Linked DNA regions of Xenopus tropicalis. The protein of the gene in region 3 interacts with the protein of the main gene of each other region in a biochemical or structural test. Links are inferred from orthologs where the notes say so. Each region holds a gene or a part of one and is shown on either strand. Other genes may lie near its edges. The genes, in order: vgll4, ret and lrrk1.

Region 1 (3,523 bases), on a different chromosome or scaffold from region 3:
CATGACTCTCCCTAATATGGCGCCTGTTCCTTCTTGGTATCTTGGTCGCCAAATTCAGGGTTTTCTTTTCCTAGTGTTTCCAACAGGGCCTCGCTGGCCTGCAGAGCTGCTTGTATCTGAGTGCAACCAATGGCTCAGCACTCTAGAGATGATATATATATGAACCAGTGTTTTGGCTATTTTGCCTTAGTATGTGTACAAGGGCCCAGAACATTCCTTCTCTGTATATTTGTATTTATACATATGGGTAGGGGGTGCCATAGTGTTTCCCTTAGACAGTACAGTATGGGGGTACAGCTTATTGTGTGCCCAGAACATTCCTTCTCTGTATATTTGTATTTATACATATGGGTAGGGGGTGCCATAGTGTTTCCCTTAGACAGTACAGTATGGGGGTACAGCTTATTGTGTGCCCAGAACATTCCTTCTCTGTATATTTGTATTTATACATATGGGTAGGGGGTGCCATAGTGTTTCCCTTAGACAGTACAGTATGGGGGTACAGCTTATTGTGTGCCCAGAACATTCCTTCTCTGTATATTTGTATTTATACATATGGGTAGGGGGTGCCATAGTGTTTCCCTTAGACAGTACAGTATGGGGGTACAGCTTATTGTGTGCCCAGAACATTCCTTTTCTGTATGTTTGTATTTATACATATGGGTAGGGGGTGCCATAGTGTTTCCCTTAGACAGTACAGTATGGGGGTACAGCTTATTGTGTGCCCAGAACATTCCCTCTCTGTATATTTGTATTTATACATATGGGTAGGAGGTGCCATAGTGTTTCCCTTAGACAGTACAGTATGGGGGTACAGCTTATTGTGTGCCCAAAACATTCCTTCTCTGTATATTTGTATTTATACATATGGGTAGGGGGTGCCATATTGATCCCCATAGACAGTACAGTATGGGGGTACAGCTTATTGTGTGCCCAGAACATTCCTTCTCTGTATATTTGTATTTATACATATGGGTAGGAGGTGCCATAGTGTTTCCCTTAGACAGTACAGTATGGGGGTACAGCTTATTGTGTGCCCAGAACATTCCTTCTCTGTATATTTGTATTTATACATATGGGTAGGAGGTGCCATAGTGTTTCCCTTAGACAGTACAGTATGGGGGTACAGCTTATTGTGTGCCCAGAACATTCCTTCTCTGTATATTTGTGTGTGTGTGTGTGTATCTCTGGGGGCTCCTCTAGTATCTGAATATTTTAGTAATAATGACTGTTTCCTTACACTGTTCCCCACAGTTCCTTATTTCTTCCCCTCAGCCCCCCAATCCTTTCTTCATTGGCCAAGTATCAATCTTCCCATCCACAATTTCCTTTTTTCAAATTTCCCAAACTTCTTAAACCCCATATTTTCCCGCCACCCACCTAAACCCACACCAGCAACCCTACTTGATGACCCAAACCCAGCCAACCCACGGAACCTGTAGGTACTGGGTACACTTGCACCTCATTGCTGTGTATAGCCAGCATTACTCCTCTCCCAAGCAGCTCCAGGGGCCCCCCTACTCCATGTGCAGCAGAACCATAGTACACGGGCATCCCCTAATCCTGTCAGATTGTAAGCTCTAATGGTTACAGCTTTATTTTCTGTATCAGTCATTATGGTGCACAGATTTCATCCCTGTTTTGCTTTTGTCTAGAACCAAGAGCCTTAACGGCGACTACCGGAAAGAGCACAGAGACCGGAGCCGGAGCCCCATAGAAAGAGCAGCGGCACCGACCATGAGTCTCCACGCCAGCCACTTGTATGGGATCCCACCCCTGGCGGTGGATCAGCCGCTGGCACTTACCAAAAACAGCATGGATGCTTCGCGAAGCATGGGAATCGTGCCCACCATGGAACGGCAACAGGTGAAGTGACTTTTATTTCCACCGATACACATGTTGGACTGTAAATGTGCCCATACATGGGCCGATTGTAGCTGCCGATATGGGCCCCTTGGACCGATTCGGCAGCTTATCGACCCCTGTAGGGGCAGGAACGAGGGGCCTGCCCGGCAGATATCGATCGGGCAGGTTAAGTCAGATCGGTGACCGCATCAACGAGCCAATGCGGTCCCTGATCTGACTTAACCTGCCGAACCGATTGCCCCACTGCCGCCATTGTAATTTGATTGTTTGGCCCCAGGGCCAAGCGATCTAATTAGCCTACATTTTCCCCGGTATCGCCCACCCGTAGGTGGGGATATCGGGAGAAGATCCGCTCGCTTGGTGAACTCGCTAGGCAAGCAGATCTTCACATGTATGGGCACCTTAACTCCCTGTGGCCCTACTATTCTGATTAATATTCTTTAATAGATTCTTTTAGGGAAAAATAGATGCAAGTTCCTGAGGGTTAATGAATCGTTAGATTCATCTGCATCCGTGTGGCCCAGAGCACTAGTGTTTTGGGAATATGGGATTGGACATAGTCATTCCCTTGGGCAGGTCCTGATACTGCGCTACAGCTCCTGTTGGTGTCTCAGACAGTGTTGGGAGTAAATGCAGCCAGTATCACTGGATATTTTTTTTTTTTCCCAAATATTATTAAATTGTCGACTTTGTAAAACTTCACTCTCCATCCAAAATTGTTGCCCAGGATCGTTTTAAGGCACAAGTGACTCAAGGCTGCAATTCTTTCTTTCTTCCCAGAACCGACCTTCTGTGATTACGTGTGCACCGGCGAGTAACCGCAACTGCAGTCTGTCTCACTGCCCCGTCACCCACAGCGGGGGTGTCTCTGCCGTGCCCGGCAGCTTCCGGCGGCCATCAAACAGTGAGTTCAACTTCTTGGCTAAACACATCATTTAACCTCTTACCTGCCAGGCAACCGGAATAACAGTACCAGCCCCATAGATTCTAAGGTTGCTTATATCTTTTGCCCCAGCACTGGAAGGGTTAAGTCACCCCAGAGGTTTTTTACTGCCCCAGTTCTGCTGAATCATTTCCACTTAAAACCTTATTCCAGGATGACCTTGTAGCCCGGGCTGGAGCTCTATATTTGTTGCAGTGCAGCCATTTTGAAGACCGGGATGCAGTGCCTATTGGCAGGTCATGGAAATTGCCGTATTTCTCGAAGGTGATTAGTCCTGGTCCAGTTACTCCAAAGGCTTGTAATGCCGGACATGGGCCCCAGTCATTTCCCTAGTGCTCCAGGTCTGACAATTCCCCTTTGAATGATGGTGTAATTTAGTACTGGATTCTTCAGGTTCTAATGTGTCTGTAGTAAATAGAACATTCCAGTGGAATTGACTCCAAGCCAATTAACACTTTGCTTTCTTTTTCCCCTCTGCCCCAGCCACGACCGCCTGTGACCCTGTGGTGGAAGAGCACTTTCGCAGAAGTCTCGGCAAGAACTACAAGGAGCCGGAGCCCGTGGCCAATTCTGTGTCCATCACCGGTTCTGTCGATGACCATTTTGCCAAGGCACTTGGAGAAACCTGGCTCCAGATTAAAGCTGCCAAGGATGGTGGGCCCAGTAGCCCTGAATCTGCCTCGCGAAGAGGGCAATCATCCCCTTCGGCTCACA
Region 2 (4,284 bases), on a different chromosome or scaffold from region 3:
GCCTTAGATCAAAGATACACAGTATAGAAATACAACATAATAATCTCTATATTAACAAACAAGTCCATAGAATTATGGAAGCAGAGTCTTCAGAAACGATTGCCAGCCATAAAATGTCTTGTGTTCTTACTAACTTTCATCTTCTGAAAGTTGAAGCTTCGCAAATATAATAATTCAATGATAAAGCAGAATTTCAACCATGCAGATGCAGACTAATCAGAGACACATTAGCCTTCTCCATCAATTATTTGCTAAAAGCATTTTACCAATAACCAAGATACAACAAATGTGAATAAGACTGAAGAGTTAATAGTGAAGTGCATAGCATCTTACTGTCACACTTTGACAAATAATGACAGGTGTATAGGAAAGATGATATTGTATATCCTTTATTTCCTTCTATAATTTATTTGGATGGCCTGCTCTGCAATATAATAATTATAATAATAAGTTAAACATAGATAGTAAGAGAAAAGGAGAAAAAATAAATAGACAGATGAATAAGATAGGAATCAGTTCAAGCAGATACATTAATCCTTTTTCTCATCCTTCACACTACAGTATACTTTATAATACAAATCATTTTAAGTTTAAGTGTCATACCTACTTATACATGTCATTAAATACAATTTAAAATTATAGATTTATTTATGGACAAGTAAAAAGATAATACTGCTCTGGTCAGGCTTCCAGACTTTGGCTTTCTAGTTTGTGTTAAAAACAAAACACAGATTTGGTTTGAGAGAAATCAGTACTACACATTAAATGCATTGCGCTGAAAAAGATGCCAAAAGCCTACTATTAATGTTAATAACAGCAGACAATAAAAGATTATTATTAAAATTATAATTGATAGAACATCTGTATTTAATAAAATCAGCTAGTGAATTCATTAAAAATGAATTTATACCATAGAATTTTGAATACATTTTCAAAAATAAGAATATGGTTCATTAATTGCTATTTGCTTGGCACATTTGCCAGAGGGTCTGGCAGCAGTGTGATTTCGTCAGGTGGCAGAAATGGTTAATCACGGAACAATAAACATAACATGTGCTAAAGTTGTGCCCTCTGAAGTGATTATGGACCAGAGGGTTATTTATTACCCAAAATCGTGGAGCCTGGCCTCTGCTGTATTAAAGAGCTCAGATTTATTCACCTGCATGTGCTGAGTCTATGAGCAAACACTGACATATGGAGATAAGGGAAAATGATATGATTTTCTGTTTACATTAGTGAAACAGCAGCTGCTGGCACCTTTACATGAGATCAGATCTGCAGACTTCTTACCTCACTGCAAAGAACTCATAAATATCTAGGACTCGGCATCATAACTGCCCCAGTCTCTGCTACTGCTACCAACAGTGTGCTTTTCTTTCCTCCATGTCGTACTTACAATCCCAGTGTAACCTGGCAGACCCTGTACCCGGTCCCATTCAGAGGGAGCCTGGTAATCCCTGTACCAACTATTTAGCATTCAAAGACAACCTGGAACCCCCATGCCAACCAATCAAAACAAAGGGAACCAGTTGATAACACTAGCTACTCTTCAGCATTTATAGATATACCAATTCCCCCCCCCCCCCCAAAACCACTGTTTAAATAAAGTATCCATCATTCATTATTTGGAGATAACCTGATGCCCATACACCCTCTGTTCCCTTAATTACTAACCCACAAACCTGTCCCTGCTGTTTTTTTAGTAGAGCTAAGAATGCTAAGTATCCTGCTAAATTCTAAAGTGCCAGAATGAAAATTGGCACATCCTACTGTAAATGAAAGCACTGCTGAGAATAATAATTAGTAACGGGAAGAGACTGTGCAACCATACAGTAGGAGTCGATATGGGGACCTAACTAAAATAGGGGATTTGGGCTTAGCAGGTAAACCCCTCTCCCTAAAAGTTATACAGAAGTATAGGTCAGGACTGTGTATAAGCAGGTCTCAATAATAACAGCAGCCTTATCATAACAAGAAAGTGCAGCATCTTAGAACATCTAATCTGTAGCAGCCAAGCCCCCCTTACCTTGCAAGAGGGAGAGTAAACAGAGTGCCCACCCTGCAGGTGCCATCCTGACCTAGGAGTGGGTTTAGTGCCAGAGGTAGAAAGTTGCCCCTCTGCAATAATCCACTTCTGGTGTCTCCAGGGCGTGTCTGGAACAGAATGAACGGTCTCCTGTGTTTTCCTGTAATCCTTTAGCCAGATTGACCCATGCTGTCCTAGTGCCTGCAGACCTTTCCCCGAGTGTGGGAGAGGATCTCCGATGCTATGGGACTGGACCTGGCCACACCACAACTCAGATTTAGAATGTGCTTGTCTCAGCCCAGCCTGCTCACTAGCTGAGCCTGCACCATACAGCGTGCACTGCCAGGCATCCTGCTGCGTGTCCCTTGCCTGTCTCTCTTCTTAGGGGGATGTGAGAGGACAAGCTGTTTTCTTCCTGAGACAGTAGTGGTGTCAGACGACAAAAGCAGTGGTGTCAGACGACAAAAGCAGCACACAATGAAATCCACAGAAAGAAAAGTTGCTGCGGAGATGCTGAAATGTCCACTCCCCCGATCTGCTACAATTTCCCAAAGACAGTCTCCTAAAGATGCTTAAATAAAGATGTCCAGGGAGGCACAAATCATCATCTTAACCCTGAGAGTCCTGTGCTTCTCCCACTCTTGCAGCAGGTGTTACATTGGGAACACAACTGAGTTTATCATTATTAATATCTTGTCTAGGAGATCTAGGCAGGGCTTGGGAATCGTCCCAAATGCTAGTTTGGATGTTCAAGCAGCTATAAAGAGGAGAGGTATTGTTTGGAAAAGGAGCATAGGTTCTCTGTTTGGATCTGGATTGGTTCTTGCATGAGAAGAGATGATGTTGATAACAGGCGAGTGCATCTGCAGGAAACTCAGTGCAAATAAAGCCAAGAGCAAATGGGCACTCAGCTACACCCAGTTTAATTAATAAACTGCAGCCAGGAGCAAGCAGGGGAGGGAACAGGCAGGGGGGGGAACTCTCACACATGGACTATACTGAAGTGAAAAGGGCAAAGGGAAGAAGCAGACACCGCAATCAAAACCAATCAGGCATAAAATACATTGCCAAACCTACAGGCAACTTGGATTCTTTCTTTGCTAACCCACTGTCAGAAGTAATCACTGAGTTAAATAGCACACAGAAAGAGTTAAAAGCAAATTGTCCTGTTTTCCTGATACAGTTTTATTAAGGCAAATTAAATTATTTCATTTCATCTGCACCTACTTCAATTTTGTATTAAAAAAAAAACTGTTCTCTATGGTTCTGGCAATAAATCTTTTAAAATATATTACCTTCTTTTTTAGTGTTCTAAAGGAAGGGCAATAGGTGATAGGCATGGAAAATCCAAATTAACTTGCAGATAAAAAAGAAGCCTGGAAATATAAGCGTTTATTTTTTTTTTTACTGTGGAAGACACAAGTGCAAGAGTACAAAGGGGCACGCAAAATGAAATCTGTCACAAGGTGCAGAGGATCTGAACAACGCAGTCTTGTGCTTAACATCTTCCATAGCAGTGCTGTCCAACTTCTGTTGTACCGAGGGCCGGAATTTTTCCGACCTACGTGGTGGAGGGCCGATAATGGAAGCCAGTTTTGACCACTCCCCTTTTTGAAACCGCACCCACTTGAAACCACACCCATGTTATCACATGACCATACCCATATTAATGGTTGTAGTACAGCAAAAACCTGCCATACTCTGCCTGCCCTACCCTGCCTGTGTGTGCCATACTCTGCCTGCCCTACCCTGCCTGTGTGTGCCATACTCTGCCTTCCCTACCCTGCCTGTGTGCCATACTTTCACTGTGTGTGCCATTCTTGTCTGGTTTGTGCCATACTTGGCCTGTGTGTTCCATACTCTTCCTGTGTGTGCCATACTCTGCCTGCCCTATGCTGCCTGTGTGTGCCATACTCTGCTTGCCCTACGCTGCCTGTGTGTGTATGGCACACACAGGCAGCCTACAGTGACACAATGCTGGCACTGCTCCTACAGTCTGCACAATAACTATATATTAAAAAACGTTTTAATTGCAGTACCACCTCAGTATATGTTCTTTTTGTAGAGTGCAGGGATTATTTGTGGGTTTCTACTGCTCCTGAGGTGTAAACAGGGGAACAATGGGAGTGATTACAGCCTGAGCCTGAGGTGTGAACACTGCAGGAGTGAACAATGCAGAGATTAAAAGGTGTGAACAACACAGGGGATTACATATTTAAACAATACAGAGGGATTACAGCCTGAATCTGAGGTGAGAA
Region 3 (3,655 bases):
TACTAGACATGAGCCAGTCCACTTTTATACCAGTTCTGAAGATTTGCCAAAGATAAATTGTGATTTTGGCTGACTTTCTAGTCATGTGGTTTATGCCTGCATTTCTGCTCTAAATACTGCGTAGGAACCACTAATAAATATTCCATAAAATCCTAAAAATATGGAGGCACAGAATTTCTTTAAAACACACTTTCTATGCCAAACAGCTATTCATACTTTTTTTGGGCTATTAATGTAAAGGGTTATAAAACCCACCAAGCACTAGCATGGGCTTTGTATAGTCTGCTTAACTTTAGTGCCATGAGACATGGGTCATTTTTTGCCCTCCATCAAGCACGAACAACAAAACTACTGAAATTGTGGGTCATTACCGGCAATGTAAATTGGCACTGGTAAATTGTTAGATCGTGTAATTGCACAAAAATGTCTCCTAGGGTATTTTTACACAGCTTGAATAATTTCAATAATTGCTGGCAAATACACCACATAAAAACAACCAGTGTGTCACTGCCCTTTGGAAAGTATCATTGCTGCTCAGTTGTGCTGTATCCCTATCCAGTAAAGAGATGCAACAGTAGGTAATAGCAGCAATAGCTAACCTCCTTCCTGTAAACTTAGAGCATCTAATACACTAATGGATTCATTTATTCCACCCTTTTCTAGCAATCCAGGTATACGAGAGCTTCCTGCAGATTTGGGGCAGTTGTCTAGTCTGTGGCAACTGGACCTTGAGGATCTGAACATCACAAACCTGCCCGGGGAGATCAGAAAGGAGGGTAGGTGAACAAAGGGACCTGCTCACTTTCTTAGATACACTGGTTAGAATTGACCAGATTTGGTTATGATTTCACATACATATGTTACATAAAGCAACTTTATTTATACAGCGCCAACATATTCCACAGCACTTAACAGAGATTATACATCAATCACATCATTCCCTTCCCACACACAATGATCAGTTGTATTAGGAGCCTGTTTACCTGACTGTATGTATTTGGAGTGTTTGAGGAAACCCACACAGACAAGGAGGAAAACATACAAAATCTTTGCAGATATTGGATGCAGAATAGGACCTCAGTGCTGCAAGGCAACAGTGCTAACCATTGCTCCACAATGATAAAGCTATCCTTTATAATCTCATCAAAATGAAGGTGCAGAGCTTTGCAGAACAACTGCTTTGGTGGTTATTAGATATTGACATGTCACATCCTACTGTACCTAGGGCCAGTTACTATCCTGGCTTACCTGCGTGCTCAGCTGAGAAGGGCAGAACGATGCCATCTGGTTAAAATGATAATTGTGGGACCCCCTCGGCAGGGCAAATCTACCCTTTTTGAGGTTCTGCAGAGTGGGAAAGTGTCTCAGCAAATGCAAGGGGACAACTCCATAAGAACCACCTGCTGGGAGCTACAGAAGCCTGTGGGGACCACTGCAAAGGTGAGCAGCAGAGTTCAATTGTAGTAACCTACGTTATTGTAAATTCTACTCACAGATAGTGTTACTGCCAGCTTGAATAGCCCTAGGTGGGATTAGTGGCTGAACTGCAAATATTACAAATATTTTTTTTTTTAATTTTTTTATTATAAATATTTTTTAAACAAATGCTTACATTGGGAGACTTGTGGTTTTAGTAAAAATAAATTTGTTTAAAGCTGGCCATACACGTGGCGATCTGACGATGTTTCGTGGTCGCACGAAACATCGTCAGATCCGCCACACACCATTCAGGGCTCAATCGGCAGGTAAGGAGGTAGAAACAATAGGATTTCTACCTCCTTCTGCCGATTCAGCGCTGAAGAGAAATTTTGGTCAGGCGCCTTCTATGGCGCCCGATCAAAATTTTCAAACTGGTCCGATCGGCGAGTCGGCAGATATCAGCAGCTTCCTGCGATATCGGTCGACTGGCCGACATACCATACACGCAGCGAATATCGTACGAAATGAGGTTTCATACGATATTATCGGTGCGTGTATGGCCACCTTAAGAATCTTACCTTATGCTATAACAATTTAACTAGTAGACCACTCTGCAAAATCTAGACTCTTTCATGGGTATGTTCTCCTCAAAAGTCACTTGTGTTGAATGTTGGAATCCTGCTAGCTGACTTTAGGCATGTGCATGTGGGCAACAGCATTTAAAAAAAAAAGGTGTGAAAGAATGCTAAAAAAATTCATATGTAGGAGCATATGCAAAGAACAGCAGTGTTGATGGCACATGTCATTATCCAATTTACATTTGTTGTATTCTTGTACACCTACCCTGATGTGCTTGTGTTGGGTGTGTGTCACACACAGACCATGCCCACTTGAGGTAAATCTATCTTGCAGATCGTAGATTGGCATAAAGAGAATGTGTGAACCAGGTAAATGCTGAAACATAGTAATGCAACGGTTCTGTACTTCATTCTGTCAAATAGGATATCCAAGTTCCTCCTAAAAATCCTGCCAGTACAACATTCCATAGGGTTACTGCCTTCATATCAAAGTACCTTTTGCATAGCCTTATGCCAAGGGCACACTATGGCCATGATCTGCTTTTCTCCGCCTGAGTTTTGTACTTCATTTTGGCAGTAGGGCAAGTTTCTGGATCAACTTTGTAATTGTTGTATTCATTTCAGTCACCTTGTATTTTCTTTCTTGCAAGGAAAGGCATCCATATCTTTCTTGAAGTTATCTTGTACATGTTTCAGTACAACAGCTTCAGGGAAGAAATAACACAATTTTACAAATTTTCTCACTGTAAAAGATATCTCTTTCCTTAATATGAAACCTCTGTTTGTTTAATCTCAATAGTATGTCCTTTTGTTCTCTGCAGATACTTATTGGTTAAGGGCATTTATTGTATGGGCCCCTTATATATTCATACATAGCTATCATATTCCCCTTAACCACTGCTTTTTCAATGTTGAAAAAAATGCAGCCACTCTTTTCTGGGCTTTCCATATTTCTTTAAAGGAATACTGTCATGGGAAAATGTGTTTTTTTCAAAAGGCATCAGTTGATAGGTATTCTCCAGCAGAATCCTGCACACAAACAGATTTCTTTATATTTAACTTTGAAATTTCACATGGGGCTAGCCATATTCTGCATTTCACTGAAAGCAGTTCTAATGTGCAGCGCTGGCATCTTTTTAAATATCAGACTCGGGCACAATGCACTAAGATGGCGCCTACACACCAATATTAAAACTAAGAATAATTAAGAAATTAAGAATAATTTTAAATGGTAGAGTGAATTATTTGCTATGTAAACAGTGTAATTTAGAATTAAAAAGTACCCCATAAAAAATCATGACAATATCCCTTTATTAATGAATTATATGATGGAAACGCAAACTGCACTCCATATTTTAAATAGATCCTACCTTACCTTTATTACCCCTTCAAGTACAGGACAGTATTTTGACGAACATTGCTGCTGCTGCTGTCTGACATTTCCTGCTGCACACATGTTTTTTATCTGCAATTACCCCAAGATCCTTCTCCATTAAGGATTTACCTAACTTAAGGTCCCCATACACGGGCCGATTCTAGCTGCTGATATCGGTCCCTTAGACTGATCGGCCCGTGTATGGGGACTACCGATGGGCCTGCCCAACCAATATCTGGCCTGAAATCGGCCAGATCTCGATTGAGCAGGTTAGAATATCTGG

Evidence for each region.
Region 1: the proteins of lrrk1 (region 3) and vgll4 form a complex in vitro, tested with the Homo sapiens proteins (2 studies listed by BioGRID and IntAct, with this or other methods). The link is inferred for Xenopus tropicalis from reciprocal best matches to the Homo sapiens genes LRRK1 and VGLL4.
Region 2: the proteins of lrrk1 (region 3) and ret form a complex in vitro, tested with the Homo sapiens proteins (2 studies listed by BioGRID and IntAct, with this or other methods). The link is inferred for Xenopus tropicalis from reciprocal best matches to the Homo sapiens genes LRRK1 and RET.

Annotation. Positions count from the first base shown.
Region 1 is NC_030680.2:151,278,424-151,281,946, forward strand, and holds part of vgll4 (transcription cofactor vestigial-like protein 4), read left to right. Parts: intron 1-1,655; coding exon 1,656-1,866; intron 1,867-2,646; coding exon 2,647-2,770; intron 2,771-3,292; coding exon 3,293-3,523. UniProt on the Homo sapiens protein: May act as a specific coactivator for the mammalian TEFs.
Region 2 is NC_030683.2:50,223,435-50,227,718, reverse strand, and holds the start of ret (proto-oncogene tyrosine-protein kinase receptor Ret), read right to left. Parts: upstream 2,913-4,284; 5' UTR 2,073-2,912; coding exon 2,027-2,072; intron 1-2,026. UniProt on the Homo sapiens protein: Receptor tyrosine-protein kinase involved in numerous cellular mechanisms including cell proliferation, neuronal navigation, cell migration, and cell differentiation in response to glia cell line-derived growth family factors (GDNF, NRTN, ARTN, PSPN and GDF15).
Region 3 is NC_030679.2:115,735,781-115,739,435, forward strand, and holds part of lrrk1 (leucine-rich repeat serine/threonine-protein kinase 1), read left to right. Parts: intron 1-663; coding exon 664-776; intron 777-1,225; coding exon 1,226-1,440; intron 1,441-3,655.